Linked DNA regions of Bombyx mori. The main gene of each other region encodes a partner of the protein of the gene in region 4 in a complex. Links are inferred from orthologs where the notes say so. Each region holds a gene or a part of one and is shown on either strand. Other genes may lie near its edges. The genes, in order: RNA polymerase I-specific transcription initiation factor RRN3; Znrd1; DNA-directed RNA polymerases I, II, and III subunit RPABC4; DNA-directed RNA polymerase I subunit RPA2.

What was found.
Region 1: DNA-directed RNA polymerase I subunit RPA2 (region 4) and RNA polymerase I-specific transcription initiation factor RRN3 share a complex: the UniProt entries of both Homo sapiens proteins name them as parts of the pol I pre-initiation complex. The link is inferred for Bombyx mori from reciprocal best matches to the Homo sapiens genes POLR1B and RRN3.
Region 2: DNA-directed RNA polymerase I subunit RPA2 (region 4) and Znrd1 share a complex: the UniProt entries of both Homo sapiens proteins name them as parts of the pol I pre-initiation complex. The link is inferred for Bombyx mori from reciprocal best matches to the Homo sapiens genes POLR1B and POLR1H.
Region 3: the proteins of DNA-directed RNA polymerase I subunit RPA2 (region 4) and DNA-directed RNA polymerases I, II, and III subunit RPABC4 are in contact, whole or in part, in a cryo-EM structure (PDB 7OBA), measured with the Homo sapiens proteins. The link is inferred for Bombyx mori from reciprocal best matches to the Homo sapiens genes POLR1B and POLR2K. Residues at the interface, in NP_061887.2 of Homo sapiens: Val87, Ile92, Cys93, Lys94, Glu95, Val98, Ala101, Glu102, Gly105, Arg106, His159, His160, Gln704, Asp705, Val793, Phe794, Gln805, Asp808, Asp809, Asp810, Leu812, Pro813, Phe814, Ile815, Gly816, Ala817, Lys818, Leu831, Val848, Asn851; in NP_005025.1 of Homo sapiens: Met15, Tyr17, Gly20, Glu21, Ser30, Arg31, Asp32, Pro33, Ile34, Arg35, Cys39, Gly40, Tyr41, Arg42, Ile43, Met44, Tyr45, Lys46, Lys47, Arg48, Arg51, Val53, Val54, Phe55.

The regions. Positions count from the first base shown.
Region 1 is NC_085116.1:3,272,604-3,280,480, reverse strand, and holds part of RNA polymerase I-specific transcription initiation factor RRN3, read left to right. Parts: intron 1-708; coding exon 709-808; intron 809-3,709; coding exon 3,710-3,862; intron 3,863-4,602; coding exon 4,603-4,821; intron 4,822-5,900; coding exon 5,901-6,265; intron 6,266-6,665; coding exon 6,666-6,894; intron 6,895-7,432; coding exon 7,433-7,643; 3' UTR 7,644-7,877. UniProt on the Homo sapiens protein: Required for efficient transcription initiation by RNA polymerase I (Pol I). Required for the formation of the competent pre-initiation complex (PIC).
Region 2 is NC_085112.1:11,750,912-11,758,279, reverse strand, and holds Znrd1 (transcription-associated zinc ribbon protein), read right to left. Parts: upstream 4,481-7,368; 5' UTR 4,480-4,480; coding exon of another isoform or gene 4,475-4,479; coding exon 4,348-4,474; intron 4,124-4,347; coding exon 3,913-4,123; intron 3,655-3,912; coding exon 3,630-3,654; 3' UTR 3,339-3,629; downstream 1-3,338. UniProt on the Homo sapiens protein: Core component of RNA polymerase I (Pol I), a DNA-dependent RNA polymerase which synthesizes ribosomal RNA precursors using the four ribonucleoside triphosphates as substrates. Can mediate Pol I proofreading of the nascent RNA transcript.
Region 3 is NC_085111.1:12,247,009-12,255,062, reverse strand, and holds DNA-directed RNA polymerases I, II, and III subunit RPABC4, read right to left. Parts: upstream 4,431-8,054; 5' UTR 4,238-4,430; coding exon 4,174-4,237; intron 3,525-4,173; coding exon 3,432-3,524; intron 2,766-3,431; coding exon 2,743-2,765; 3' UTR 2,593-2,742; downstream 1-2,592. Other genes in the region: uncharacterized protein LOC119628526, read right to left, coding at 5,734-6,402; ARL14 effector protein-like, read left to right, coding at 7,754-7,833, 7,940-8,054. UniProt on the Homo sapiens protein: DNA-dependent RNA polymerase catalyzes the transcription of DNA into RNA using the four ribonucleoside triphosphates as substrates.
Region 4 is NC_085132.1:2,353,069-2,361,151, forward strand, and holds part of DNA-directed RNA polymerase I subunit RPA2, read left to right. Parts: intron 1-483; coding exon 484-576; intron 577-1,327; coding exon 1,328-1,474; intron 1,475-2,069; coding exon 2,070-2,242; intron 2,243-2,548; coding exon 2,549-2,798; intron 2,799-3,868; coding exon 3,869-4,024; intron 4,025-5,601; coding exon 5,602-5,768; intron 5,769-6,219; coding exon 6,220-6,367; intron 6,368-7,288; coding exon 7,289-7,349; intron 7,350-8,083. UniProt on the Homo sapiens protein: Catalytic core component of RNA polymerase I (Pol I), a DNA-dependent RNA polymerase which synthesizes ribosomal RNA precursors using the four ribonucleoside triphosphates as substrates.

The DNA.
Region 1 (7,877 bases), on a different chromosome or scaffold from region 4:
ACTAATAAAAACATTGTGAAATATTGTGAAAGAATTTAACACATAAAAGTCAATACAAGTACTCTTTCAGAAATCTAGTAACATTTAAGATTTGAGATTTTCTTTTATTTCATATTCTTACTAATATAACTACTGAAATATTGTATTGTATAAAACTGAATTATATTATTATCATGCTATTAGTCCGTTACTTTTATTATAATGCTTAGATAGGTGGATGAGCTCACAGCCCACCTGGTGTTGAGTGTTCACTGAAGCTTATAGACATACAGAATGTTAATGCTACCACCCACCCTGAAACCTGAGTTCTAAGACTTAGTTTTTACAGTACATCAACTACCCCACCCTTCAATCAAAATACATTACTGCTTTACGACAGGAATAGGCAGGCAAGTGGTGGTACCTACCCACGCATGCTTACAAGTTTCTCTACTGATAGTAATTAAGGAAATTAAAACTTTTACGGGTTTGATTTTTATTACACAACTTCACTGTGGAAGTCATTTGTGAACATTAGTTAAGTAAGTAGTATTCCATCAGAAAAATTGTTACCAGCCTGCAGGATTCCAAACCAGCAGTCACAAGTTGAAGTATCCAAGATAATATTTAAAAAAAAATATTGCCTTTTTAGGCAGACTTACTTAATCTAATAATAATTTTCATAACATTAGTTAGAGATATATTTGATGATGACTATGATATTTTTAGCTAATGAAGAAAACTGGGATGACACTCCACCAACAGAGAAATTGAATAGCTGGTCTAACATTCATACAATCATAGGACAAATTATCGCAATAATGCCGATGTAAGTATTTTACGTAACTTTCTTTAAGGTTATGCTTCATATTACATTGTTTGTGGATGTTTATATCTATCTAACAATTTAAGTAATGTCAGGACTATTTTCTAATGAAGCGCCCTATATGTGTCACGATACATAAAAATTTATAAAATATTTACAGAAATCTTCAACAATTTGAATTAGAGTGGTTTGGGAATTTAATTATTTGAGTATGTGTATTGATTTAGCCCCAGTATTTACTCTTAAGTGAGTGGATATAGGCTAATATATCAAAATGCTTCATGAAGCATATTGATGATATATTTGACAACCTACAAAGGTTGGATGAGATATTTAATTGGTCAGATCTCATTATACTAAAACAGTTCCCTTTTTGGGAACTGTCTTCTGCAGCTAACTAAAAATGTTTGAATACCACAAGATCATCACATAGATGTTTAAAAAGTTTATGGGACCCACCATACTACTTACAAAACATTAGCTGATGAGATCATATTTGAGCCTTCTGTGACACACTCAAAAATTTTAATATAATACTTAATAATAAATGGGTCAATGAGAGACTGAAATTGTTCTCTTAAAATAACCAGGTGCACAGAGTTCTATCTGGCTTTATAAATGACTCTGGAAACTATGTTGTGTGATTTTGCACCTACATCAATCAATACATAGGCGGCACTGAAAATTTCGGGAATTAACGAAGTGACACAACATTACTATTTAAAAATGTATTTATTGCTTTTCGAAGTATTCTCCGCGAAATTTGACACATTTTTCCATACGATGGAACCAATCATTGAAGCAACCATTCCATTCGGAAGTTGGGGTCTCCAAAATGGCCGTTTTGTAGGCGTCCACAGCTTATTCAGGTGATGAAAATCTCTGTCCACGCAATTTATTCTTTATTTTAGGGAAAGTATAGAAATCATTAGGGCTTAGGTCGGGGCTGTACGGCGGCTGGTCTAATAATTATATGTTTTCTTGCTCTAAAAACTCTTGTTCGGTGCGCGGTGTGAGAACTCGCATTGTCGTGATGGAGGATGATGCGGCGGTTGCAGTTCTCTTTACGGAGTTCAGAAACGACCTGTGGCAAATAAATGCTAGCATACCATTCTGCATTAACCGTTCTTTGTCCCTCAAGAGGAATAGTCGTAACATGGCCGGTTTTGGAGACAAACGTGGCCACCATTTTTTTTGCAACACTCCGTGAACAAACAATTTTTGTTGGCTTTAACTCATTTTCGAACACACAAACTGGTGACTGGTTTTTTGTTTCGGGTTCGTACGCGTATATCCAGGATTCGTCACCTGATACAATGTTGTATACAGCATTTGAGGATCCTGCGTGGAATCTTTCGAGAGTTCTGACGCACCAAGTAACGCGAGCCGCTTTTTGCTCTTCACAGAGCGAATGCGGTATCCATCGGGAAAACAACTTTTTTACACCTAATTGTTCCTGCAAGATTATTTGTATTTGACTCATGCCAATGTCTAAAGTTGCCTGAATTTCGCGGTATGTCACATGTCGATCTTCCTCAATCAGCTTACGCACAGCATCAACGTTTTCTTGGGTGACTGCAGTTTTTGGACGACCTTGACGGGGATCATCACTGAGCTTGACACGTCCACGTTGAAACTCAGCAAACCAGCGATAAATTGTGGTTTTGAATGGGGCTTTATCACCAAATGCAGAAATCATCCGGTCAACACACTGTTTTTGTGTTAAACCACTTCGAAAGTCATAATAAATCATCGCTTTTGAATTTTCTCGAGTCAATTCCATTTTCTCAACGACTAAACAAGTTTGACAAAACCTCGTGACAAGACCGAGAATCTTTTTTTAAATAAATAAATGGTATTCGATTTTTAAAACCAAGGAGTTTTCAATTAAAAAGATTTTAATATGACAGGACAGTGGAAATATTCCATTCCCGATACTTTTAGTGCTGCCCTCGTACCATTGATTGAGTATTTACCAAAACTTTTCTAGAGAATCAGTGAAGAGCACTTTTGGAAAAGGGTTTTGGAAATGAAATTTCTAAACATATTCTATTTCAGTAACACTGAAATTCGGGCAATTATTACTGAGTGGGAGCATGAAATGCGGCTACCTAAATACAAGAGCTGAACAGCGATGGATGCTAATATTATCACTGAGCAGCTCAGTCTGTATTGCTGGTGCAGAATGCAAATGGTCACATGTAAGTGGACCAAAAATAGCACATACCAAAGTTGTAAACTGGTATGAAATCAAAGAAATGAATGGTGACCTTCTGAATAGAACCAGAAGGTCTATTCATTTCATAAAAAAATTACTGACAATTGGATGTTGCCACATTTTTAAGAAGATACAGAAGGATAATATGAAATGTTGGTATTCATTTACAATTACATAATCTAATGTAAGAAGTATATCCTTACTAAAAATCTTGAAAAATATACAAAAAAGCATTGTTTGGAATGATGGTGTTACTGGGATTCTCACTATTAAAATTTTAACAGATACATAGCATTTGACTATGCAATATAATGCATGAAACCATATCGACGCTTGAAAGGCAAACGTGACTAAGGACAATAACTGCTTTTTACATAAATGATAGGCAATAATAATATTCGATGCGCAAAAAAAAAATATTTCTAGGTCTATTAAAATCATTTCAATCCTACAGCTAGATTAGTTAAAAAAGATTTTTTTTTCAGGTATTTCAACTTTAAATTAGTTTACTGTAAAGTTCACTCATTGTCGCTTAGTCACGTTTGCCTTTCAAGGGTCGATATATTAGTGTGGCATCAAGAGAATAAAAATTTAGGCCTAAAAAAATCTATGTAAAATATTACCTGAATTGAGAAAAATTCAGGTGATGTTTACATTAATAATATTTTAACAAATAATTGTTTTAGGACAAATGAACTTTTAATGGAGACTGTGATAGATCAATTTCCATATCACAAAGCTGGTTGTAGTTCAAATAGATCTTTCATATATAACCTTATATGGATTAGCAAATACCTACCTTCACTTACAGAGGAAATTATGATGATTATTATTAATAGGTGAGTAAACAAAACCTTGTACGTACATATTGAGACATGTCATGCAGTCAGTCTAAATAACTAAGATTTATGAATAAGGTGTATGTAAGAGGCAGCCATTTTTTAAATTCAATCTGAAAACAAATTGTAAACTGATTATTTTAAGTTATAAATTTTTGTTAAAATCAATTACGTACTAGAAATAAAAATAGTCCTTAAACTTGTATGGCCAGGACATAATTTATTACAGCTCTCATTTTAGATTTAATCTTTAAAAGGTTAAAGATGAAAAATCAAAGTATTTTGAACAGCTAGCTACTTTAATGTTAGACGGGACCTTATGAATTTGTGATCCACAACCCTACAAACAGATTTCTGTCCAGCATTGAATAAGGCAGACCAGTGTTCTTAGTGTGAGTTTTTTACTGCTAGGAGCTGTTCTTACTGCACACAAATTTGGGCTAGCTTATGCTATTGAGAACGTAAAAAACTCACACTAAGCACACTGTTTTGTTTAAGTTACCTTTATATGTACTTATTTAATAAAATATTGTAGATAGATACATTAGAAAAAGAGCAAGCTCCAAGTTTCTTACTCATTCTCTTGTGATGCAGCTGTTTTCCAACTTAGCCATAATGTCATGACGATTTAAAAACACCTATGAAGGCCTACTTGAAATAACAACCTTTATGGTGGTTTAATTTTATTTGACATGCCACTTAGTAAAGCTCACATATTCACCTTATTTTTTTTTATTCAGAATGATAGTAATGGATGGCAATATAGTGGAAAGTGACAATAAAATGAAACAGAATGACACACTATTTGACATGGATGTGGAACAACATGATGACATCTCTGAAACCCTAGACTATAGTATGCTAGAAGTATTGCACTGGCTACAGGAAGAAAGAGACCCTATTTTGCACCACATGTGCACAGCTTTTGAAAAAATAATACTACCAACTTACGGAATCAGGTAAGAAAATATAATATACATTCTTACTCATTTTGTGTTTTTAAAATTCAAAAGTATAAATGAAAAACATGTAAACTCTCACATGCATACAATGATGAGGCTAGATGCTTCTTATAATGTGATGAGGAAGACCATATACTGAAGCTAATTTTATTGGAATTAAGTAGTGTGTATAGCATGATGTGTTTATGCGATAAATGTCTTATCTAGGAAGAATTTTGGAGGTTTATTTTATTTTTATCGTAATAAGTAATGATATGATATAAATATCTAATAAATATAATAAAGAATGGCAATGGAAGCGAATATCCTATAACTTCCATAAAGCAGTCCTGTTGTGATGTATATAATATACATTGTTCTAGCAGCTTCAATTAATAGAATAAAATGAGGTATATTCGCAAACACAGGATCTCATCAAATTTATGATCTTTTGTACAAATTTTTGTGAAATTTGTAATTTTATAAATTTTAATGTCATAAAAAATGTTAATCTCAATAAACTTGATTATTCCTTGACCTATATCTTTGTGAATATAAATGTTATACCTAATTTAAATTTACTCCAACCACTTACTCTACTATATCACTGACATGTTATGATTTATACTAATTATAATTTTTAAAATATAAAAGATTAAGGCATTTAGCTAAACAATTCCAAATAATTCATGAAGCCAAATACCAAACTATATTTAAATAAGCTTGTCAATAGATTCTACTGGAGAAAACAAAAAAAAACCAGAGAATTGGTTGAAAAAAGAGGAGAAATGGTATTAAACTGTAAATATTTAATGTTAATTTATGTAAATATTTTTATTCATTTAAATAGATTTAAAAAAATTGTTGCAATGCTAGTAATAAATGTGGTTCTTTTTTTTTAACCTGTCACAAGGATAATGTCAATGCACACAAGTGGAACACTTATATTTAAGTGAAATATGTAATGAAATTCACTATTTAAAAAAATTGGTAGCGTAGATACAGCAATCAACTATTTTAATATGACACTTTTTAAACATATATACATGACATTTAGTTTCAAAATATGCTAATCACATATTGTATATATTTTTCAGGCATGTTCAATTTTTACTGCTGTATACAATATCAATAAACCAACATTGCGCTGACCGAGTTCTCAACAATCTGTGGACAGTAGCGGCAGGGCTTCAAGGTCTAGGACCTGGTGCATTGGCAACAAGACGAACAGCTGCCAGTCATCTTGCAGGCCTGCTGGCTCGTTGTGTTCGAGTTCCTAACTCAAGATTAGTACAATTCTTGAAGACAATGACAGATTGGTGCCATTCCTACATCTCTGCAGCTCAAGAGTCCACCACTGTTACTGATAACATTAAAGCTCATGGAGCCTTCCATGCTATATGTCATGCTGTGTTTTACCTAATTGCATTCAAACACCAGCATCTGTTTATGAGTAAAGAAAGTGAGTATAATTTAGCATTCTATATATTAAAAATATTTATTTGGAATGTTTATTTATTGTTAAGTATTTTCGTTGTGCACCTTCAAAGCCTTTACTAAATACAGTCTTTTATTTGATGGATCAATATGTCATAACATTTACAGCTCATGAAATAGGGTTTTAATTTTCTGTTTATGGTTCAAAGGCTATTTTTAAGCTCAGTTCTAAGCAATCTACACAGAATAAAATCACATTTGTGAAGTATAACTGACACATTTACAAAAAGGTTATCTTTAAAAAAAAATATTTTGGTCACTTCTTTCAGTAATGGTAATTTCAGTAAAATATAACTAAATTATTAACAATTACAGATTTGTATAATTTATCTCTATTTAATATGATATTTATTTTAATATTTCAGGCTTAAACTTTGTGGAGTCTCTTAATCTTCCTCGGCTAGTGGCTTGCACACTGAATCCTCTCCGCACCTGCCCACCGCAAGTGACACGAGCATTTTCATCGGTGACTCGATCTCACCAAATTGTGTATTGTCAAGCTATTATTGAGAACAACGCGCGACACACGTTACAGTCTGCAGATATTTTGCAGTATGATGAATGGTTTCCATACGACCCTTATCAATTACCTAGGTAAATATACCCTCTTCTTATAACTCAAATGTATGGAAATTTGTCAAATAACTTACGACAGGCGGAGTGTCAGTAGTTTCTCAAAATGTAAAAGCAGCTTGGCCTGCTTCCACTAGCGTTACAAATTTTTAGTTAACCTATATCCGAGATTAATTGCATTTTGCTATAATATACATATTAAAACACATAAACCAATTTAATTGAAACTATCAGAAAACTAATATAATGTAATAAAATAAAACATACGCGAGAGAAACCTGTAAAAGTAGTAAATGTGACTCACGAAAACCTACCATTATAACCAAATCGCTTTTATTACGTATTGTTATTAATTATTGATAATAAGGTAAAGTTCCGTGAGCAACTTCTCTATGATTGTCTGTGCAAACTAATATGTCGCGAGTCCTTAGTTACGCTGTGAGGGTATAATGATAATTTAATATTCTAAAATAGATAGGGTAAACCGTTTCTAATTATGCACCTCCTAACAATTACACTATAACTTACTTGAGAGAAATCAATTCTTTGAATGTTTCAGAAGCGGTAAAATAATATGGCCGCTGTGCATCGATTACAAAGACTGGTTAAAAGAAGGCGATGACGAAACTCAATACTCAAACATGAAAAAGAAAATGGAGGCAGACGATGACGACTTTTTAATGTCTGTTAGTCCATGTTCTAAACTAGCAAGCTCACTGTCCAATGGAGTATTACCTGGATTTAGAACAAGTGAAAGCATACCATACTAAAATTTATTTATTTATTTTTAAGGAGAAAAGTAAAAATGTACTCTATAAAACTTTAGAAATAAATGAAACTGTCTAATTTACTTTGTATAACTTATTGTGAAGTTTTAGATGCTGCTATCCTGCATCTATTTATGCTTAAAACATGTTATTAGTCAATGTACATACTTTACATTCGTTGATTACTCTGCCTTTTTATTCTATTTAATTGCGTATTGACTGTAAAAAATATAATAA
Region 2 (7,368 bases), on a different chromosome or scaffold from region 4:
TTCATTTTAGATTCATATCAGGCCTAGATAGATAAATAAATATCCTTACAAGTAGTTACGTGTGTTGTGAGACCGTATGGGTACCACCTCCTATTTCTGCTCTGGAGTAGTAATGCGTTTCGGTCTGAAGGGCGGGGCAGCCGTTGTATGTACTATGTATAAAACATAGACTTAGAACTCTAGACTAGGTGGCATTTACGTTGTTGTTATCTATGAACTCGGGCAATCACTTTACACCAGGTGAGCCATGAGCTCGTCTACCCATCTAAGCAATAAATAAGCAAACATGGATTTTGGAAATTTGTTCTACCATTCAATTGGGTTTCATTCAGATTCAAAAATCAAGCAAAAAATATGGCTGTACTTTTTTTTCCTACCGAATCTGATAGCCTTGAGAGGCTTCGCAGAATCTACCACCGGATCGGAAACGCGACCCACTGAGAAGATCCGACGAGAAACTCAGTGGGCTGTGTCTGAGGGCTAAGGGCTGTACTATTTCATGTTTAAACTAATAGTACACCCTATGGACTCAACGATCAATAAATGCATAAAGAGGTACCTACTTAAGGTTTTACGTCACGAAGCCATATTTTTAATTCGAGGAATCGAGTCGCCTCTTTAAGCGGTTTCCCTACTGTTTTTGGTATCAAACGCTGAGGTATTTTATGGGCAAACGAGCTAACTACCGTTTGTGTTAAATGTTTACCGTAGCTAACAGATATCACAAATGTTAATACCTCATCCTAAGTCTTATGGTCGACATCAAAATCGTGTATTAATTACGTAAACTATAAATTTTCATCAGATTTCATTATTACTACACGATTTTAGTCACACAGATTTTAATTATGAAACAATTTTAATGTAACAGAGATTATTTACGACGTTTTACCTATTATTATGCATAAGATCATTCTCTATATATCATGCAGGTTTTTTTAATCCCGAACATTTGACGAAAATAACGCAACGATTATTGATAAATTGGTAAACTTATTTGATTAATTGGTAAACCTAAAAATCTTATTTAGGTTTTGTATTTTAATTTTATAGTTGCTCTTAGTCTGGCGAGGCTTTGTTCGCGCTGCAGGAGTCGCCACGGGCGGCAGGACGCGGCAAGCTCTGAATGACAGGGGAAAGCAAACTCATTTATCTGCCGCGTGTAGGTTTGATCTTGACAGCTGAAACACGATCCGAGCCCGCAGTGATTGGCGAGATTCATGTTCGATACCGGCCGGTAAAGCCAGTTTGTTGTCGCTGGAAGACCGCATAAAGGTCTGTTAACGATTATATCGAACTGTGTTTTATAAAATCAATTGCTTTTTTTATAATAGTTAAAATTACTTTAATCTCCGCGGCAACTCTTAGTCGTCCGTGACCATGAAATATTTAAAGTATTATAAACGTCGAAAATAATTTTATGAGAAAAAAAAGAACGCGATGCTAAACTGTAGAAGTATTTTTAATTGTGTCTACCATGAACATACTTTCATATTAATTTCGATAATATAAGTTCATCGACTGTGTCCATCACTAATCCGTTCGTACGCAACGTACATCGAATGATCAAATTAATTACCGCCTCATCTCGGCTCGGACCAGCTCTCAGCCGAAAAACCAAGCTGACCCTTCCGTCAGTATTAAAAAAAAACAGTTGAAACATATACCTATCCTTTTCTGGCACGTTAAAAAAGACTTCGTTCGTCGGAAGGTAGCGTGTATTGAATGTGAAAAGTAGGTTTCACCTGCGGCTTGTGAATGAACTGTTGTTGCGCGGCATCGTTTGATGTGTGAAACAAACGTTTGACAATTGACAGTAAGTACTCTAGAAATAGGCTAAGACAGCGGCTCTCAACCGTCACGACAGCCTAGATTGTTTATAATAAAAATTGTATTTCGTAGATAGCTGCCGGTTTGATCACGCAAACCTCATTTTAATTTATTTGTTAAATATTGTAGTTTAGGCATAATTTATTGGCATAATTTATTAATGAGATATATATTTTGTTAGGCATTTTTTTGTTAGCTTTGTCTTTTTTTTTTTTTTTTATTGCCTTTGTAGGCAGACGAGCATACGGCCCACCTGATGGTAAGTGGTCACCGTCGCTCATGGACGTCAGCAATGCCAGGGGCAGAGCCAAGCCGCTGCCTACCATTAAAATGTCTATTTTAAAAGTTTATTATCTCGAATGGTATTTTGGTCTATTTAATAATTAACTACATTTTATTTGTAGCGCGTTCAAAATCACATAGCATTATTTTCTCTTGTGACAAAACATTGTAATTTGTTTATGAAAAGTCTCACAATTTAAGGAAACAATATTTTAAGTTTTTGCTGTTCAAAACCATTACTGGCTAAATTGTTTTTTTTTAATATAAGTTGTTCTTAGTTGGACGTGAGAATAATATTGTAAGGCAAAACAAACACATGCAAGATATTACTACCGCCGTATGAATTGTATGCCTTTGGAAGTGTCGATTCGTTACTATTAATAGTCTTAGATTACTAGCAGATTATTATGACTGTGCTTTAAGACCACTTGGAAAATTGTTCAAATCACTACCAAAATCTAGATTTGACGAGCATAAAATTTGAGAACCAATGTGCTAAAGGAAAATGTAATAATGATAAGTTTCTCACTCAAAGTTGGAATTTCTATGTAATGACATATTATATGAATATTGTTTTGCCTTGAGTAAACCTCAGGTGCTCAGCAATTGACACGGCACTGTTATTACTTGAGAATGTGTAAGTGATCTAAAACAACCACATCATAGCTTCTGCCCACATTTCTAGAGCAAAATCTCATTTTAAAACATCATTCACAACGGACACTGTTGCCAATACTACGATTATTTTTCTTCATTGTATGGTTACGCTAGCTCACAGCCCACTTGATGTTGTTGTGGTCTATAGGATACGATGCCGGTTTACAAGTATCAAGCGATTGTGCTGGTGTTAGTATCAAGGGATAAGGCCTTAGGAGGCAGGTAAAAATTTTCCTTAATAAATATGTATGTATTACAGAATCCAGTGACTTCTACTATGGAAGATTAGCAGTGTGTACTTTTGTTATACAGGCATATTATGCTTACTGTAGGAAACTAATATGGCCGAGCTTGTTCTACATAGAATTATTTCTGAGTAGTGTATTATAAGTTTATCAAAAATTGTCAAATGTAAATCTTCTACACTAAGATCCAAATAAACTTGTTGCATAAAACTCTTCAATATTGCTATGGTTTTAGAAACATGGAAATAAAACCTTTTGAAAAAGAAACTTTCATTGAACTTATTATTTAAAAATAGAAATGTATTTCTCAGCATAAAAAAAACATTTGGACAAATGTTTATAATTTCAATTATTCAGATTTGATTCTATTACATGTAATTTTTAAAACATGGTTTTTAAGATTAATCAGTATAGAATTTACAGTTTAAAAGTTATCATTCCAAGAAATGGAATTAAAATTACGCACCAGTTACATGGTGATTAATTTTAATCCTTATTAAATTTACCTAATTTAAAACAATCAGTAAAACTGATTTTTGCATAAAGTGATTCTGATACAATGATTCTATTGCCGAGTTTTCCTTTGACAACCTTAAAACTAGTATAAAGCAGCCTTTAGGAGTTTTCAGTTTCCTTGTATCTGAAAATAAATAATACTTTACGATATTATCTTGTACGATGTGTTCTTTTTTAAATTAGGAAATAATTTTATTTTTGAGATAGTAGTTGCTTACAAGATCATTATTATGTCCAGTTTTATATTACCAAGGAAATTTGGCCACAAGTTGCAATTATTTTCCTGTCTTAGGCTAGTGGTAGGGTCCAATTTTATTTAATACAAGTACAGATATTGATGACTTGCTCATCGAAATACAAATAAATATTGTAATTTACATACTTGCACTTTATACATGTGTAGAAAACTGTTTGTCCTTCATCGGCCGATCGTAACTGTAGAGTTGCATATGACATTCTGTCGTAACCGCATTTAGCGCATTTTCTCTCCACAACTGGACCCTCAGGACCATCAGTATGTAGTATATTCTCATTTGTGATCACAGATATAGTATTGAAATGTATTGTGTATTGAAATTTCATTTTACTATAATCTGTAAAAAAAGAATTTCTGAATAAAACATTTTTTTAAGTTTTTATTTTATATTTCGAAAACAAATACAACAGGTTCTTTCTGGATTTCATAAGTATCACTAAAGTTTTTTTATTTATTATAAATTTAATAGTGAATATTCGAAAATTATACAAAAGCATAACGCTGAAAAATCGTATCCCGTTTATATGAAAGTAATTTTTTCATTGGCAACTATATACTTACTATCAGCCTCATAATGTGCTTTACAAGTGTAGCATTTCACGGAGCCAAACTCTTGTAGCAAGGGTAATATGGACCCACAGCGAGCACAAAACGCTGTACTAGTTGATAACGGGCTTTCAGTGGACATTATTTCTAAAAGTAAACACAATTATCACTAAAAGGGTTGTGTATTTTTGTTTAGAATATTAGGTTATTTTAAATCTTTATCTATTAGTACTAAACATAACCAAAATATATTTTTAAACCAATATGAAGCATACTATATATTTTTGTGAAGGGTTTTAGACAGTTTTAGTGTATACATACCCTAAGTATTTGCTATACAAAAACCTATTTTTTTTTTACTATAATGATAAATTCATTACTTACGTACAATTTTTTTTAACTGTTTGACAATTGACAAAGGAAACATAGCCCATACTGATAGTATTAGATCACTTGTAACTAAAATTTGAAAAGATGAAGTTCAGTAACTGTTTCTTTTTCTTACCTAAGCTCATAGCCTTGAGAGGCTATGTTAGCGTCACCTAACAAGTAGGTGAGCTCACGGGACTCAAACCTGATGACGTTGCTAACGCTAACCCTAGCAAGAGCAGTGCTTCTCTGAATCTACCAGCGGATCGGAATCGCGACCTACTGAGAAGATCCGGCCAGAAACTCAGTGGGTTGTGTCTGTGGGTTAATTTACTCGCCGAGCCCTTTGTCGCAAGCGACGGTTTCGACGAGAACGATGACTGGTGATTTGAAGTGCTTAAAAGCACCGTTAGTGGATCGGGAGGATACGAAATGACGTGCTGTAATTAAAATAATGAAGATTGCACTTCTACGTTTTAGTTTTGGTGGACTTTTTGTCTCTCTACCACAGTCTGTGACAATGCCTACAGAACTACAGAACGCTCCCAGTAGCTGTAGATATAACCACTACAGTCTACTACAGCTCATTTTTAGCTCTTGCTCTTTACACTATTACTAACTCCACTCTATAAACGAAATTATAAACGCAATTCTTCAATAGTGGATCTCTAAAATCAGTCATCTTCATTGTTTCTCATATATAGATTAGTAGGTATTTAGGAAATATGTTGACAACTGTCGTCGTTGCGGATTAAACTCAAACTGCAGTATAGGAAGCATTTATTTATTCCACACGCACCTTAAAATCGTATACATTAACAATCAATTGATTTTTATCTTTGAACCTTTTAAAAACGTAAAACACATTTTTTTATATCATGACATTTTTCCCTCAAACTGACAGCCTGTCTTTTGAAGTGAAAACTTCTTTAGAATCGTTGTGATTTCAAACCGGATGCAACGGATAAAACGACAGGTAAGAGACACAAATACAAAAATGTGTAGGATGAAGCCAGCAAAGAATGAGACAGAAATATACATACTATTTAATACAGCGCCATCTGTGAGATTTTTTAATACTAACGCGTGTATGAAAGTTCTTGTAGTGAATTTTAATTTAGGATTATACGTGAAATTAAAATAACAATTCACAGAGGGCGCTACCTTACAATTATTTACTAATGACAAAATTTTACATATACCTAGTCAGGTCATAAGTATTGTCACACAGTAAAAACTTTTCTTTTAAAATGCTGGCCACAAAAAAAGTTTATTGAATTCGAATTTCGAATTGTTCATGAAAATAAAAATGTATACTTTTAGAATTTTACTCATTTTTAAATATAGAGTGGACGCTTAAAGAAGACCATGTTGCAGGTATTGCGTTGCATCGTTGCGGTTACGCGCCAATTCAAATTTTTAACATACTGAAAATTTTGAATATAACCAAAAGATTCGTTTATCGTACCATCAAACGATACAATGAAGACTCTAGTGTAGATGACAGGTCAAGAAGTGGTCGCCCTCGGTCTGTTAGGACTCCAGCAGTGATAAAAGCTGTGAAGGCGCGAATTCAAAGAAATCCCAAACGTAAGCAGAAACTGTTGGCCCTTCAGATGGGGTTAAGCAGAACCAGGGTGAAAAGGGTGTTAAATGAAGATTTAGGGCTTCGGGCATATCGAAGAAAAACAGGACATCGTTTGAATGCTCGTCTAATGGACCTGAGACTGAAGAGATGCCGCGCTTTGTTGAAGCGGTACGCGGGAAAAAAATATCGGGAAATTCTTTTTTCGGATGAAAAAATTTTTACCGTAGAAAAGAGCTACAACAAACAAAATGATAAGGTGTACGCAGCGTACATAGTGAAGAAGCGAGCAACCGTATTCCGCGTGTCCAACGAGGTTATTTTCCATCCTCGCTCATGGTATGGTTGGGAGTTTCTTATTGGGGCTTAACAGAGATACATTTTTGTGAGAAAGGTGTAAAAACCAATGCAGTTGTGTATCAAAATACATTCCTGACGAACCTTGTGGAACCTGTTTCTCATACCATGTTCAATAACAGGCACTGGGTATTCCAACAAGATTCGGCGCCAGCTCATAGAGTAAAGAGCACACAAGACTGGCTGGCGGCGCGTGAAATCGACTTCATCCGGCACGAAGACTGGCCCTCCTCCAGTCCAGATTTGAATCCGTTAGATTACAAGATATGGCGACACTTGGAGGAAAAGGTGTGCTCAAAGCCTCATCCCAATTTGGAGTCACTCAAGACATCCTTGATTAATGCAGCCGCCGATATTGACATGGACCTCGTTCGTGCTGCGATAGACGACTGGCCGCGCAGATCGAAGGCCTGTATTCAAAATCACGGAGGTCATTTTGAATAAACTTTAGTGTCATAAGAATCTATGTTTTGTTAAGTTCATTTTGGTATATGAATGATTACATAATGAATAAACTTGTTTCAATTATTTTACATTAAACATGTGACAGAATTTATGACCTGACTAGGTATTTATGACGTTTAGGATAATTGTATTTTAATTTTGGAAGGTTTCACTTCTACCACGTGTGAATTGCACACATGTATTTTTTTTATTTTCTTCGGGATCTCTCCCGTTGTTAGTCTGTGTGTGAAAAAACCATTCACCACAGGTATTCTATAAAA
Region 3 (8,054 bases), on a different chromosome or scaffold from region 4:
CACCATAATAAATAACTATCTATTAAAATATATATGTACATAATCGATAAAAACCTAAATCTACCATTATGATCAAGAAGCTTATAGCAACAGAAAGGCATCGACGCTAATCAATGATTTATAATTATAGGCTCCTAATTCTAAAACTTATACAAAAAATCTGCTATACGTTTTAATTGAAAAAACTGTTGAAATAGACATTCAAGCGGAAACGATAAATCGTATCAGTCTCGAGAGGCGACATAAAGTGCGGTAAATAAAAAAATAAATATTTTAAACAAAATAACATGCATACTTAAATAATTCACATCTACAAATAATGTTTCTAATATTAATCCAATTCCGGATTGGCATGAAAGAAAAATGATAATATTCAATATAATTTCAATTGAATGCCTATTTACTGGTATTGTCATTATTCACATTATTTTAAATCATACATGATCCATCCTTTCATCTCTCATTACAGACGGGACTCTATCAATTTTACTTGCCCTTGTTTACCATTACTTATAAGATCAAACCGTTTACAATTTAAATAACAAAATCAAAATTCGATATGTTACTCAAAAATGTGATCCGACGTTATAATTCTCGCACTATCCAATAAAATTGTTTCCAATTCTTTGCTATTCCATTGTTGTGCGAGCGGCTCTTTTTCCATTTAAGCCAGTGTGCTTAGTGCGAGTTTTTTTAACGTTCTCGATAGCGTAAAAGTTAGGTCATATTTGTATGGAATGGGATCGCTTGCGTACGTTTGCCGCTAGGGGCGGTTCCAATTGCATACAAAATTGGCTTAACTTTTACGTTATCGAGAACGTTCAGAAGCTCGCACTAAGCACACAGGTGGCCTGTAAGCGGTCTTATCTACAATAATAAGTTGTTCTAACTGATTAAATCCATCTAATAAAATTTCAATGGTTCGGTACTAAACGTTTCATATTAAACGTCCCCAAGCTAGGGTTTTCCCCTTTGTTATAATGGGTGCTTGAAAGTTAAACATGACAAATGTATGTACATTTAGTCCTCGAATGCCAAATGTTTTTAATGAAGAAGCTGACTTCGAATTTAAAGAGGACTCTGTGATACAATAGGTAGCTAAAGTCAACTCTACTAATTCAGCAAAGCCATAAATACATATTTAAATGCGTATTTTACAGAATACAAATAGCTCATTTCCATATTAGTTTTTCAATGAAATTATCTCCTCTGTTAGCCACTAGTATGATTTTAAATAAATACATAATTATTATTTTCAAAACACTTGCGAATAGAAATATAAGCTTTTTAAAGATAATCATTTAGTTATTTCAAGTTTAAAATGATTTTTAATTGATATTTTTCTATGTAATTTTTATATTTCAACTACCGATAAATTGAAATTTATTACGTCATCTGTATAGTTCTCTAATTGGGACATAATATAAATTCGAGACAGAACATGTAAAGTTACTTGATCATAAACTGTCATGATTTTGTATTTTGTTTCCAAGAATGTTATTTGTATGTGCTATAAACTTTTTGATTATGATTAGTGAGTTGGTAACTATAGAATGGAATTAAATCTCTTTATTCAAATTTTCTTTATGCATGTGTATACCCATAGCATGTTTATATTCACTATTATATAACGTAAGCAAAAAGTTGACTTAGAGGAATGTGTGAAAAATTAAATTTGATATTAATGTCGTGAGTCCTAACAATTATTTATTGATAGTTTTTATGGATCGAAAAAAAATGTATATTTGTGGCTATTGTAAAATTTTAGACATACATTTTCTGGTGTTTTATTATGAGAGGTAATAATTTTAATAAATTGTTAAAACTTTATAATGATGAAGTTACATAATTAAAATACACTGAGATATTTCCCTTTTGTTTTTTTTATTAGTTGTTATTATTTAACGGAAGTTTTACGAAAGTACTCCATATTGACACTTTGCGTCTGGCGCCACTAGCGGTGTCGTGTGCAAAACTGGCCAACGGTCACACGTAAATGCCGCCACCCATGTTTACGATTAAAGGAATAACATCGTGTAATGAAAATCAAACCCGCAAAATTATAATTTGCGTAATTACTGGTGGTAGGACCTCTTGTGAGACCGCGCGGGTAGGTACCACCGCCCTGCTTATTTCTGCCGTGAAGCAGTAATGCGTTTCGGTTTGAAGGGTGAAGCAGCCGTTGTAATTATACTTGAGACCTTAGAACTTTATCTCAAGGTGGGTGGCGCATTTACGTTGTAGATGTCTATGGGCTCCAGTAACCACTTAACACCTGGTGGGCTGTGAGCTCATTCACCCATCGAAGCAATAAAAAAAAAAGATAATGAACTCATTTGATATCTATCTATAAAGTTACATATTTTTCTTGCACTTAAGTCTTTTTTTTTTAAGGCAGTAGTTCATTTAGAAACATCAAATAAGTTGATTGATACTTCAAATCATTCAGATTACTTATATCTATTGGGTACAATTTAGAACACATATATCATGGCGGTAGGTGGCATTCATGTTTTAATGTCTATGGGCTACCACCAGTATATAATGTAAAGTGATGATGTAGATCTATAAATCTACTATAAAAAAACTACCTTGTATATATTTTTTTTCATTGGTCAGTATTATTAGAGCATAGACAAAGTAACAAAAATACACATTAACCTTATTATAAATTTATTTCACTCTTCTGTGCATGATGTATCCACCGAACTTATCTTCTAGGGTTTTGTTTCCAGAATTCGTTTACCGAGCGTCAAACACAACCACTGAATTCTTACTTAAGGAAAATTTTTCAGAATATTACGAACAAAAATATGATGAATTTAAAATCAACACAAACTACAAAAAGGGTAATTTTCTGAAGATTTTAACAGATATGAGTCGTCTATTATCAAAGGTGGCAATCTGTACATTTGGACAATTTTTTTTTATTGATATGTCAATACAGATTTATTTGAATATAATCGTCTCCTTCAAAGAATACGGTTCAAAACCTGCATTAAATAAAGGTTAATAGTTAACCTGTTATTTATCTAAGATGTCGTTCCGAAGAGTTTTGTGACTGCCAATGGAATACAAAGTCAATAATTCGTTTTTCTGATTTACCAATCATTGTCCAAAAGTCAGATTGCCGCCTTTGATAATAGTCGACTCATTTATTACATTTATTTTCTTGCAAGCTCAATGTGATCTAAAGGATAAAACAGATGGTGTAGTTGTGTCAAGCTGTGCAACCATGCAAATGTGCAAATTGCATATACCAATATCCAAAGAAATATACTCTCGAAATGTGATCACGAATCACTTCCACAATGAAGGAATTAAATATGGGTGATACCTGTCAATACCTTTCTACTGATTAAAATCACTAGGCTGTATCCTAGTCCTATAATCTTTACTTTAAGAATATATTTATAGAATCAAAAGGATACGTCTTTTTGTTCTTTTCTTGTACATTATTCTGTAACCACATTCTCTGCACCTAATAGGATCTCTTGGTTTGATTTCATTCTCTTTGTGACATTCTGAAAATGATAATGAAAGCATCATTTGTTTTGCAGACCCATATTATAGTTTCAGGATTGCATTTATTAAAGAAACCAACATTTAAACAGTTGAAGTAGATGATCGGCAAAAACAATAATGTAGAAAAGGGCAAACAATATAATTTACTCTCAATTGAATCAATTTCATTTTTCTAATACTTTTAAGTTTAGGTTTTTTAAATTTTAATATTAATATTAACAAGTTTTATTAAAAGCACTTAAGCTTTTACGGCTTTTAGCTTTACTAAAGAACATTTATATTTATACAGATGCATTCCCCATTTGAAATATAGTAAAACAATAACACATTAAACAAAACGCCTTAATTTATACAATGTTATAAGACAGTGTGAATAATTTTATAATCTACTATACACAAAAGACAAATTAACTGATTTATTAATTCTTTGTTTAGTAGACATTGACAAGCTTAGTGTTATCGGTAAGAACATTTTAAAAGTAGTTTCTTTCTTTTTTCTATAAAAAATGTTCATAAATCAAGAGAAAAAGAAATACAAAAAAAATATTCAATTATTGGGGTATGCTGATACCTAACAATTATTAGGTTATTTTGTGTTAGTGTTTTACAAAGTGATAGAAGTTTTGTTATTATTTGGTTACACTGTACCTCCACAAACATATATCATTGGCACTTTAGTAACTGATTGCTCTTTCCCAGTTGTGTCAGCCATTATGTGCTAAAATAGAGAAAAATTAAATAATAATAAAAAATGTGTTTTATTTTAAATCACCAATTTGATTTAAGCTTTATATTAAGTGTATAATCTATGCTTTGGATTGTTATTTTGTGTGTAGAATCTATGGTTTTTGGATTTGTTTAATTAAGCCGCAAAGGGAACTTAAACCATAAAACGTTTTGTTCAAAAGAGGGCTTGTCTTGTTGAAGAAAAAAATACGTAAAAAAAGGAGTGGAAATTTAAAAGAAAAAATCATCGGGACATTGGAGGGGAACCGAGGATTATTTTTAATTATTTGTTCGTCGTTTGATCGTCAATGTTTGAATGTAAAATTATCTGTTCGTCTTTTATTTATTTATAATTAATTAAACAAATGATCACCCTTCAGTTGGCCCCTCTTACTAGATATCTTTGTTTTTATTGCTCAGATTAATTAATTTTGATCAATTATTGTTTGTTCGACGACTATTGGTGATTGTTCGATCATAAAAACAAGTAAATTCGAAATTATTAATTATTTTATATCTAATAAGCAAATTATCACCTCACGCCTACATTGCGCATGCGCCGGTTTTGTCAGTCAGATGGCAATGGCCGACGGCCGTATTTACTACCTTTTTGTTACGCGCGAACATTAACGAACAAACGACGAACAAATAATTAAAAATTAAAAAAATCGAAAATTAAAAAAGGGGACCAAATTCAGTGAGCCGTAAAGCAAATAAATGGCATATTTTTTTACATTTTATTTATGGATTGAGTTAGCTAATCTGTGCATTAAGCTCCCAAACATAGAAAAACAGACTTTTTGGCGGGAACGCGAGGAGTGATATTGTGTGATTTGTTATATTTTGTCTATTTAGTGTTTCTTCGGGTTTAAATGTGTAATAATGGTGGTTTATTAGCAGTTTAATATCTGTGAAAGTGCACAAATGTGGGAAAATGGAACAAAGCCGCTGGACGTAACTTCTCGGGATCCTCCAAAAAGTCCACTGAAAAATCTTAGTAAATGACCACCATTTTACTGAGATTATATTTCATCCCATATTTTCTCATTTCATTTCGTTTTCATTTCATTTCATGCCATGTTTCACAATAATCAACTTCATTTCATTTAATAATATCATTTTTCATATAAAAAAGTTATCATTAAAATTAAAATAAGACTTGACCTAAAGGTCTTAGTTACCAGGTCATAAAATCCCTTAAAAAAACAAACATAGTAAACAAAGAAATAAATATTTTTTCATTTTTTTCCCTACCTGCACCTGCCTATTCGCTTAATACTCGGCAAACTTCTTGAGCATTAGTTGACGTAGTGGGGGTAAGTTCGCGCATCGTACAATTACGTACAAAAATGTTAAGTTATTAAAAACAACATAATATGTATTTATTTATATATTTATTAGTACATGAACAAAAAATACAGGTTAATAATTGTAGTAATTTAATCTAGGGGTAAAATAGATATTCCTTCCATTAGGTCAAAACTAGGAGCTGGTGCCAGGTCTTGGATCAGCTGAAGCTGAGCTGGTATTTTTAATTGTTTTTTCGCTATCATAATCATGACCATCATCATCATCATCACTACTTTCTTCATCCGTGTCGCAATCATCGTCAGCAAAAATTACAAACTCATCAGTGACTAAATCTACCACATGATCACTTTTTACATACTCCGCCTCAATATCTTTTATCTTTTGACATATTCTACCCCATTCCGGAGCACCCATCACCGCGACCTTTTCCTTCACTAGCTCTATTACTTTGCCAGTGCTCCAGTCGACATTTTTGCTACTGACATACCCTTTAATAGCTGCCCAAGCCATTTCAATTGGGTTGAGGTCTGGATGGTATGGAGGTAAGCGAAGCACTGAATGGTTGTGGTTTGATAAAATTTTATCAATGCTGTATGTTTTGTGTTGTTCCTTATGTGCTTTAATCAAGCTAAAAAGCTGGGGTTTCAACATGTTTTCATCGTATGGAATTTCTTTTTCTTGTAACCATTTCTTCATATAGACTTTTTTGGCATTGGCAGTTGGAGCGGGGTCAGACTGTTTATAGTGATATGACGCATTGTTGACTACTACAACGGAATTTGGTGGCAGATTTGGTAGCAATTGACAACGCAGCCATTTTTCGTAGTTCAAATAGTTCATGTTATCGTGGTAGTCACCAGATTTTGTGCCAGCTTTAAACAAAAGAAGGGCATTGGGAACAAATCCATCTTCGGAGCCAGCATGCACTATTACTACACGCTGTCCTTTCGAAATTGGTTTTTTTAAACCCCCAGTTGATCCATCTGACCACGACATACCACTTGCATGTGATGAGTCGACATAGGACTCATCGGTGTACACTATCGGTCTTCCTTCTTGCCTATATTTAATTATTTTTTGGAGATATTCGATCCTTAGTAGTCGAATATTACTTTTTTCAATTAATAGCTTCCGATTATTTTCTGTTCTTTTCCATCTGAAGCCTAGCTCTTTCATAATTCGTCGTAAACTTCGTTCCGAGCCATTAAAATTTATATCTTCTTTCAATTTTTTACGAAGTCTTTCGACGGTAGGAAGTTCGCTGTTTGTTATGTGATAATTATGAATACATCTTTTTATTGCAGATTGGTCGAAACTATCAATTCCGGTAACTTTCTTCTTCCCTGATCTTTTTTTACCTGGAGTACGAAACACGGCGAGCAAGTTAGAGCCCTTCGCTTCATTAATAATACGCCTAACAGTACTGACTGATGTTTTTGTTGCCTCTGAAGTCTCTTTTACCGTTTCCATATCATTATTTCCCTGCTTTTTAAGAAAGCAATATACGTCGTACACCATTTTTCTAGCTTGTCTTTTTAATACTACACCAGTTTGACGTGGCATAGTATATTTTTTATAAAAAATCAAGAAACACTCAACAAATAGCAATAACAACAAAATCAACAAACAATAATAATTATAACAAATAACTTCAACGATTAATATTAATAGACTTTTCACTGTACGCAAGCGTACTTTTGGGAGCAAGCGGAACGAGTCTCAAATATATTAAGTGTATAATCTATGGGAACGAGGGCGCGGTGCGGGACGCAAGGTTCGACTGATCTACCAACAACGCGCTCGATACGATTTCCCCTGCCGTCGCGCCTCACCCTCACCACCAAAGTGATCTAAAATTCGGTTCTGCGCAGTCAAGGTCATTTGCTCACAAAGTTTACCGCATAGAGTAAGATTATATATTGTTTACCGGTTACAGCTGGCTATTTCAGCTTCTCAGTACTTCTCACCGACGGGTAGGTGAGCTCACCTCACTAGCTAAACCTGAGAGAATTTGCTAACACTAGGCCTAACAAAAATAGTCGCAGAATTCGCAGAATCTTCCACCGGATAAATATATAATAATAAATAATAATAATAATAAATTAAATATCGTTTGTATTCGGGTAATAACGCGCGGAAGAGAATATTTTTTTAATATTATTTTGTGTTTGTAGCATGTACTTTTTAAAAGATGCGTTTCTTAGATAATTTTGATCCTAAAAATTCAGCTCGTGAACGTAGAAAAGCAAACAGGAAAAAATATTTCACTTCGTAAGTTGAAACAATTTCTATTCTATTGAATCCGTTCAAGTCTGAATTTGTAATATATATAAATATATTTTCATCAATTTAATAGTCAATATTTCTAATGTTGCAGTCGAAAAGTGAAGAGAATTTATGATGACCACGGTCATATTGCTGAAACTGGCAAAGACTTGTGTGATTGCCTCGATGAGAAGTGTCCCGGATGCCATTTTCCATGTGCAAACTGC
Region 4 (8,083 bases):
GCGCATTTACGTTGTGGATGTCTATGGGCTCCAGTAACCACTTAACACCAGGTGGGCTGTGAGCTCGTCCAATCATCTAAGCAATAAAAAAAAAAAAAAAAAAAAATTCTAATAATCACTAAATGATATGTTAGCAATTCATTGCCTAAAGCACTTTTAGAGCAATTTATATGTTAATCATTCACAGCCTGGGATCCTGATACTATGATTTCTATGAAATTATTATTTGAAAAGTTGAAATAAGGAAAACAGACCCTATAATTTAAACATTAAGAATCTTTATATTTGTTAATAGTGTAATACAGAGGATAGTTTGGTGGAGTCATAATGAAATTATTATGATGACTATCAATTTAGAAAGAAAACTTTTGTTATTCTAACCTTCTTTTTTATTACCCTTGTAACAGAGGAGCTTATGGTCACCTGAAAGTGGGGTGTAGTTCTGAATATTGTTTAAAAGTAATGCTTTATTTAAATTTGTAGTCTAAAATGTGTCATTTGGCTGATTTATCACCTGAAGAACTGATTGAGAAAAATGAACATGCTGATGAATGGGGTGGATATTTTGTAATAAAGGTTTGTAACTACCGTCATTTCAAAGAAACTATATTTTCAGTAAAATTATTGCACAAAATGTTAATAATTAATTAAGTATGTGTTAGTGATTCTGAAAAGAATCAGCGCAGGACCAATCATTTTTTAGAGGCTTGGAGGAGGCCTATGTCCCACAGTGGACATCTCTGGGCTGATAGAAGACGAAAAAGAATATTCTAGAAACCCACTGTATGAATAGATTCCCAATGCTGTTACTGCAGTCAAAACCACTGTAATGAGAGTGTCTGACTGAGGAGAAGCTATCGATTAACATGCAGCTTTTGCTGAAATAATAATTCTTCATCTCAAAGCTGACAGTTCATGATAATATTCAGTAGTCATTAGAGAAGATTGTTACTGCTATTGTAAGTCTTAATAAAATTTCAGTAATAATATGAAAGCCTTTCAAATGGCAACAGATGACTATCTCACAAACAATATATAGTTTACTAGCGACCCGCCCTCACTTCGCTTCGGAAACTGTAATTTATTATTGATTTCTCCACTATTTAATGGATGTTACTATATATATAAACCTTCCTCTTCAATCACTCTATCTATTAAAAAAAAACACATCAAAATCCGTTGTGTAGTTTTAAAGATTTAAGCATACATAGGGACAGACAGATATAGGGACAGACAGATATAGGGACAGACAGATATAGGGACAGAGAAAGCGACTTTGTTTTATACTATGTAGTGATAATGAACACTTGTTAATACTTAATACTAGGGCCATGAGCGTCTAGCCCGTATGTTGTTGGTTACACGAAGGAACTACCCTGTGGCCATCAAGCGGTCAGGATGGAAGATGCGAGGAAATCTCTTCTCAGACTATGGAGTATTAGTACGTTGCGTCACCTCCGATCAGACCAGCACGGTGAGTTGAATAAACAAGTAAATTAATTGTCCAAGACACATTGCTTACATTACTCGCTTGTAATAAAAAAAGAAATAGTTGTATATATTCCAGCATCAAACTCTAGCAAGTGACCCCACTGCTTACCTATTAGAACATCAGTCTAAGGATCTTCTTACATACACAGAGGGCTACTTGAAACACGATAGGTATAACTAGTGGAATAAAAAAGTACCTTTTTTTTTCCTACCTAAGCTGATAGCCTTGAGAGGCTATTTCAGCGTAATCTTAAATAGTAGGTGAGCTCACGGGGTTCAAACCTGACGACGTAGCTAATACGAACCCTAGCAAGAGCTGTGCTTCGCAGAATCTACCACCGGATCGGAAACGCGACCCACTGAGAAGATCCGGCGAGAAACTCAGTGGGCTGTGTCTGTGGGTTAATTTACTCGTCGAGCCCTTCGACGGGTTCGACGAGAACGATGACCGGTGCTTGAGATACCTAAAAGCACCGTTGGTGGATCGGGAGGATCCGAAAAGTACCTTGAACTTATCCTAGTAGGTGCTATTTTAGAATAACAAACCTTTGTTCTACCAAGCTAACTTTCTTCTACAGAACAATGTTCTGCATTTCCTAACGAATGGCACGTGCAAGCTGATGTTCTCGTACCGCAAGATGATGTACTACGCTCCCCTACTCCTCATAATGAAGTGCCTGGTCCCGTGGCCGGATCACTACATATACACACTGCTGTTGCAGCATAATAAGAATGATTTGTACTACGTCAAGTAAGTCAAGCTTGGTTCCTCGTTGGATTGAAATTGCATCAGATCTTCAATTTTTTTTTTATTGCTTAGTTGGGTGGACGAGCTCACAGGCCACCTGGTGTTAAGTGGTTACTGGAGTCCATAGACATCTACAACGTAAATGCGCCACCTACCTTGAGATATAAGTTCTAAGGTCTCAGGTATAGTTACAACGGCTGCTGGCTGCCCCACCCTTCAAACCGAAACGCATTACTGCTTATAGGCAGGGCGGTGGTACCCACCCGCGCGGACTCCCAAGAGGTCCCACCACCAGTAATACTGTTTCAGTTGCATCCAGAATATGCTCCGAGAGCTCCACGAGGAAGGTCTGCACACATCCGAAGAGTGTCGCCTGTACTTAGGCAAGATGTTCCGCTCCAAGCTGTACGAGCTGCCGCCCTGGGCTACCGAGATGGAGGCGGCCCAGTTCCTCCTGGACCGATGCGTTATGATCCACCTAAAGAACAACACGGACAAGTTCCACGCTTTAGTCTTCATGGTCCAGAAGCTCTACGATCTGGTTCAGAATAAGTGTAAGGTGAGGGTTCTAAAGGCCGCCGGTGTAGTGGTAAATGACATGGTCACTACACAAGGGGGTCGCGGGTTCGAATCCCGCCAAGGGAAGATATTTGTATGATAAATATAAATGTATTTTCCAGGGTTATGGATGTATCTTAAATATATATGTGTATAATAAAAATCTTACATTTATTTCCGTTATCGGGTACCTGTAATACAAGTTCTTTACGAACTCATCACGGGACCAGTTAACGTGGCATGAATATAGTAAATATTTATTTAACGCTCAGACACAGTCCACTGAGTTTCTCGTCGGATCTTCTCAGTGGGTCGCGTTTCCGATCCGGTGGTAGATTCTGCGAAGCACGGCTCTTGCTAGGGTTAGTGTTAGCAACGTCGTCAGGTTTGAGCCCCGTGAGCTCACCTACTAGTTAAGTTTACGCTGATATAGCCTCTCAAGGCTCACAGCTAGGGTAAAAAACAAAAAAAAAAACATGCAAACTGCCACTCTCGCTGAAGTGGATGAGTAATGCGCGCGATACTGACTGCTTTTGAGAAGTCTCTTGATGCCATTTCTGTATGACCTATGTTTATGGACATTTAGATACGAACTTAAGCTTTTGAAAACAACTCCCCAGTTTAACAACTTCTATGTCGAATCAAACCCAATTCTCCACAATTACACAATTTTACTGGTGATAGGACCTCTTGTGAGTCCGCGCGGGCAGGTACCACAACCTCGCCTATTTCTGCCGTGAAGCAGTAATGCGTTTCGGTTTGAAAGATGGGGCAGCCGTTGTAACTATACTTGCGACCTTAGAACTTATATCTCAAGGTGGGTGGCGCATTTACGTCGTCTATGGGCTCCAGTAACCACTTAACACCAGGTTGGCTGTGAGCTCGTCCACCCATCTAAGCAATAAATAAAAATTATCAAATCTTGGAAATTAGTAGCGGTACCTATTATATAATTGCATGATAATTCATGCTTCATGCAAGCTCCGGTCAGTGTAATGTCTTCTCTATTTGTTTTTCTCAATAAAGTTGCAATTTTATTTAAATATAATAAATATATTTGCGTGGTTTCAGGTGGAAGGAGCGGATGCTGTAATGATGCAGGAGGTGATGGTGGGAGGCCACCTCTACTTGCAGGTGTTGAAGGAAAGACTCCAGAATATTCTCAATAACGTCAGGATACAGATCCTTAAACGCGCCAAGACAACACATCGACTAGTCATCGGTCATGTGAGTGATGAGTAATTATATACATCTATACTTCTATACTAATATTATAAAGAGGAAAGATTTGTTTGTTTGTTTGTCAATACAATACAATAGGCTCCGATTTAAAAAAATCTTTCACTGTTGGAAAGCTACGGTATCCCCGGGTGACATAGGCTATCTTTATTATATTTTCAAAAAAAATTGTGGTCCTTATTGAAACTCCAATAATGTAACCCAATGTGTAAAAAAATTACCTAAAATTCTTTACATCGCGTACCCTACTTCCCAAGCGAAGCCGGGGCGGGCTGCTAGTGTTTCGTATTCCACAATTCATGTACACCAGTGATTATCAAACTTATTTCTTTTACCGCCCCCTTTGAAAATCAATTATTTTTCAGTGCCCACCATTTTTTATACACCTCTAAAAGTTAAAAACCACAATTTCACAAATAATACATCGCCCCCTAACCCACACCAACACCCCTCATTTTTTCTGGGCCCCTTAACGCCCCCTTCTAGGTTTCAAACGCCCCCAAGGGGGCGCTATCGCCCACTTTGAGAAAGACTGATGTACACGATTAAAAGCAAAATAACTTTCTCGAATAGAATTATCTCATGGTACTCTCTTTACTGGTGGTAGGACGTCGTGTGAGTCCGTATAGGTAAGTACAACAACCCTGCTTATTTCTACCGTGAAGCAGTAATGCGTTTCGGTTTGAAGGGCGGGGTAGCCGTTGTACTGAGACCGTAGAACTCATATCTCAAGTTGGGTGCCGGCATTTACGTTGTAGATGTCTATGGGCTCTGGTAACCACTTAACACCAGGTGGGCTGTGAGCTTGTCCATCCATACATGCAATAAAAAAATCATGTCGTAAGCTTGACATCCATTCTTTCAACCATCTAGCATACAGGAAGGCCGGTCAATTTATAAACAAACTAGCGGCTCGCTCCGGCTCCGCTCGGGTCTTTAACAAAAATTTCAACGATATGACGTTGTTTTATTTTTTTAAATAAAAGAACACTTATTGTGGCATAACTATAATAGTTAGACATATGCTGTGGCGACACTTTTTGTAAATAGTAATGTATTCTACAAAGTCGTGGTACATTCTTTTATTCTATCATCAATAGTTTTCGCAGGGCACGCGATGTAAAGAATATTTTAGGTAATTTTTTTTTTATACCTTTGGTTACATTATTGGCGTTTTAGTAAGGATCCCTAATTTTTTTCAAAAAAGATTATAGCCTATGTCACTCGGTAACAGTGTAGCTTCCAAGCAGTGAAAGAATTTTTCAAATCGGTTTAGTAGTTTCGGAGCCTATTCAATACAAACAAACAAACAAATATTTTCTCCTACTTACGCCGAAGGTTTTCGTCCCGCTGTACAGGGAAGAAAGTGTAACTTTTCCTCCCTGGGTACTGACAAGTGCGTATGCGCGTTAGTGTCTACGTCTGCTCTCACGCACATAATATTCTCTGCCATTGTTGTGCTCGGGTAATTTGCAATATTGTGTTTAGTGTAAAAGTGAAATAAACAAAAGGCAATAATGTTTATTATAATAATATTAAGTATAGAAATATGGTTTCGTTGACAGAAAGAGCTTCAACAAATCCTCCGCGCGTGCGGGAGTCTAGAGCAGAAGATGGAGACGTTCTTGGCCACGGGGAATGCGCCCTCCAGCAACGTCAACCTCACGCAGTACAAGGGACTCACCATCGTGGCCGAGAACATCAACAGGATGCGATATATGTCGCATTTCAAGTTAATATTTATGTTTTTTATTTATTTCCTTATTTAGAAGTCGTCGTGGCCCAAAGGATAAGACGTCCGGTGTATTTGTATAGGAATAAGGTCGTGTAATAAAAATCATACCCGCAAAATTATAATTTGCGTAATCACTGGTGCTACCACCAGTGATTACCTTTCCGCACGGATTCACAAGAGGTCCTACGACCTCTTGTGAATCCGTGCGGAAAGGTGAGTACTGAGCCTATTTCTGGCGTGAAGCAGTAATGCGTTTCGGTTTGAAGGGCGGGGCAGCCGTTGTAACTATACTGAGTACTGAGACCTTAGAACTTATATCTCAAGGTGGGTGGCGGTGATGGTTCCAGTAAACACTTAACATCAGGTGGACTGTGAGCTCATCCACCCATCTAAGCAATAAAAAAAAAGATTACCGGTCGTTTGCTAATAATGGCGTTGTGTGCTTAAGGTCGATTCACCGCGGCTCGTTCTTCATGGAGATGCGCACGACGGAGGCCCGGCAGCTGCTGCCGGACGCGTGGGGCTTCGTGTGTCCCGTGCACACGCCCGACGGCGCGCCCTGCGGACTGCTCAACCACCTCACCATGTCCGCGCAGGTCTGTCGCCCCCCGCCCGCCGCCCCTCGCCCCGCCGCCCCTCGCCCTGCCGCACCTCGCCCCGCCGCACCTCGCCCCGCCGCCCCTCGCCCCGCCGCACCTCGCCCCGCCGCCCCTCGCCCCGCCGCACCTCGCCCCGCCGCACCTCGCCCCGCCGCACCTCGCCCCGCCGCCCCTCGCCCCGCCGCACCTCGCCCCGCCGCACCTCGCCCCGCCGCACCTCGCCCCGCCGCACCTCGCCCCGCCGCCCCTCGCCCCGCCGCCCCTCGCCCCGCCGCCCCTCGCCCCGCCGCACCTCGCCCCGCCGCACCTCGCCCCGCCGCCCCTCGCCCCGCCGCACCTCACCCCGCCGCACCTTGCCTCCCAGCTGGGACAGCCCGATGTACATCCATGTTATAGTTCGACACGCAATGGAAAAAGCGCAGTTAACGCGTGAGGTCAATGCCCTCGTACGAGTCCCGAATGAAATGTCATCATCATCATGGCTCCAAGCCGGTTTTGGCAACGGGGACCAAAATTTTCTGTCCAATAACTTAAATGCTAATGTCCGCGCTTCTGATGCGCTCCAATATGGCTATGGTAGCTTATCTTGTTCTTAAACGTGCGCAAACAGAAGCTACACGTAAGAACACCACCCACGAAGTTGTAAAAAATGGTGGAACGAAATGTACAGAGTGTGCTGAATGCTGTCAACTCTTAATCCAAGACAATAAACTAGATGTGCGTTAGTGGTTTTATTTATCATATCTGTGGGTACAGCTTGGTATAAATCTAGGTGTTTTACCTACCTATTAGGTACCGTCTCGAACGATTTTTTAATCATACCACTCGTGCACTTTAGTTGCCGACTGTACATAAAAAAACGCGTCATAGCTTATTGTTTTTTCGGCAATAAATTAAAAAGGCACATCTCTGTTTCAGATCACACAAATTCCCGATCAAAAATTAGTGGATAATCTTCCTTTAGTTTTACAAAACTGCGGTAAGTTTCAATTGATAATTAAAATTCTCATGGGTTTTTGTTCTTCGAACACGACTTAATGAATTATACTAATTATTCAAGTAATGTTTAACTTTTAAATGACTACTACACATACCGAATCGAATAAATCGATTTTTCTTAACGGAATAGAAAAGGCTGTATGTCACATTTTACATAACATCTTATACCTTTAAACGAGCAATTCTTGTAATATATAATCTGAATCTCGGAAACGGCTCCAACGATTTTCATAAAATTTAGTATACAGGGGATTTCGGAGGCGACAAATCGATCTAGCTACGATTTATTTTCAGAAAATGTTGTTTTATTCGTGTTTTCAATAATCAATGCACTATGACATGTCCTTCTTCAAACGAGGCTTATGGAGAGTATTAAGCGATAGGCAGCGGCTTGGCTCTGCCCCTGGCATTGCTGAAGTCCATGGGCGACGGTAACCACTCACCATCAGGTGGGCCGTATGCGCGTCTGCCTACAAGGGCAATAAAAAAAAAATATTTATAGATAATCAACTTTATGACTCTTCCCGACATCAATTGGCGAATATTAATACTATTTTTACTCCTTTAAGGACACAACAAGATGGAGTTATAAAAAAAAAAGCAGAGCAAATCTCGGTCATCATCTAGTTATACTAATTTAATATTCATAACATTATTATAATATCGTATAATCCTTTAATCGTCCCTTACCACGAAAACTGTACAGTAGGTATT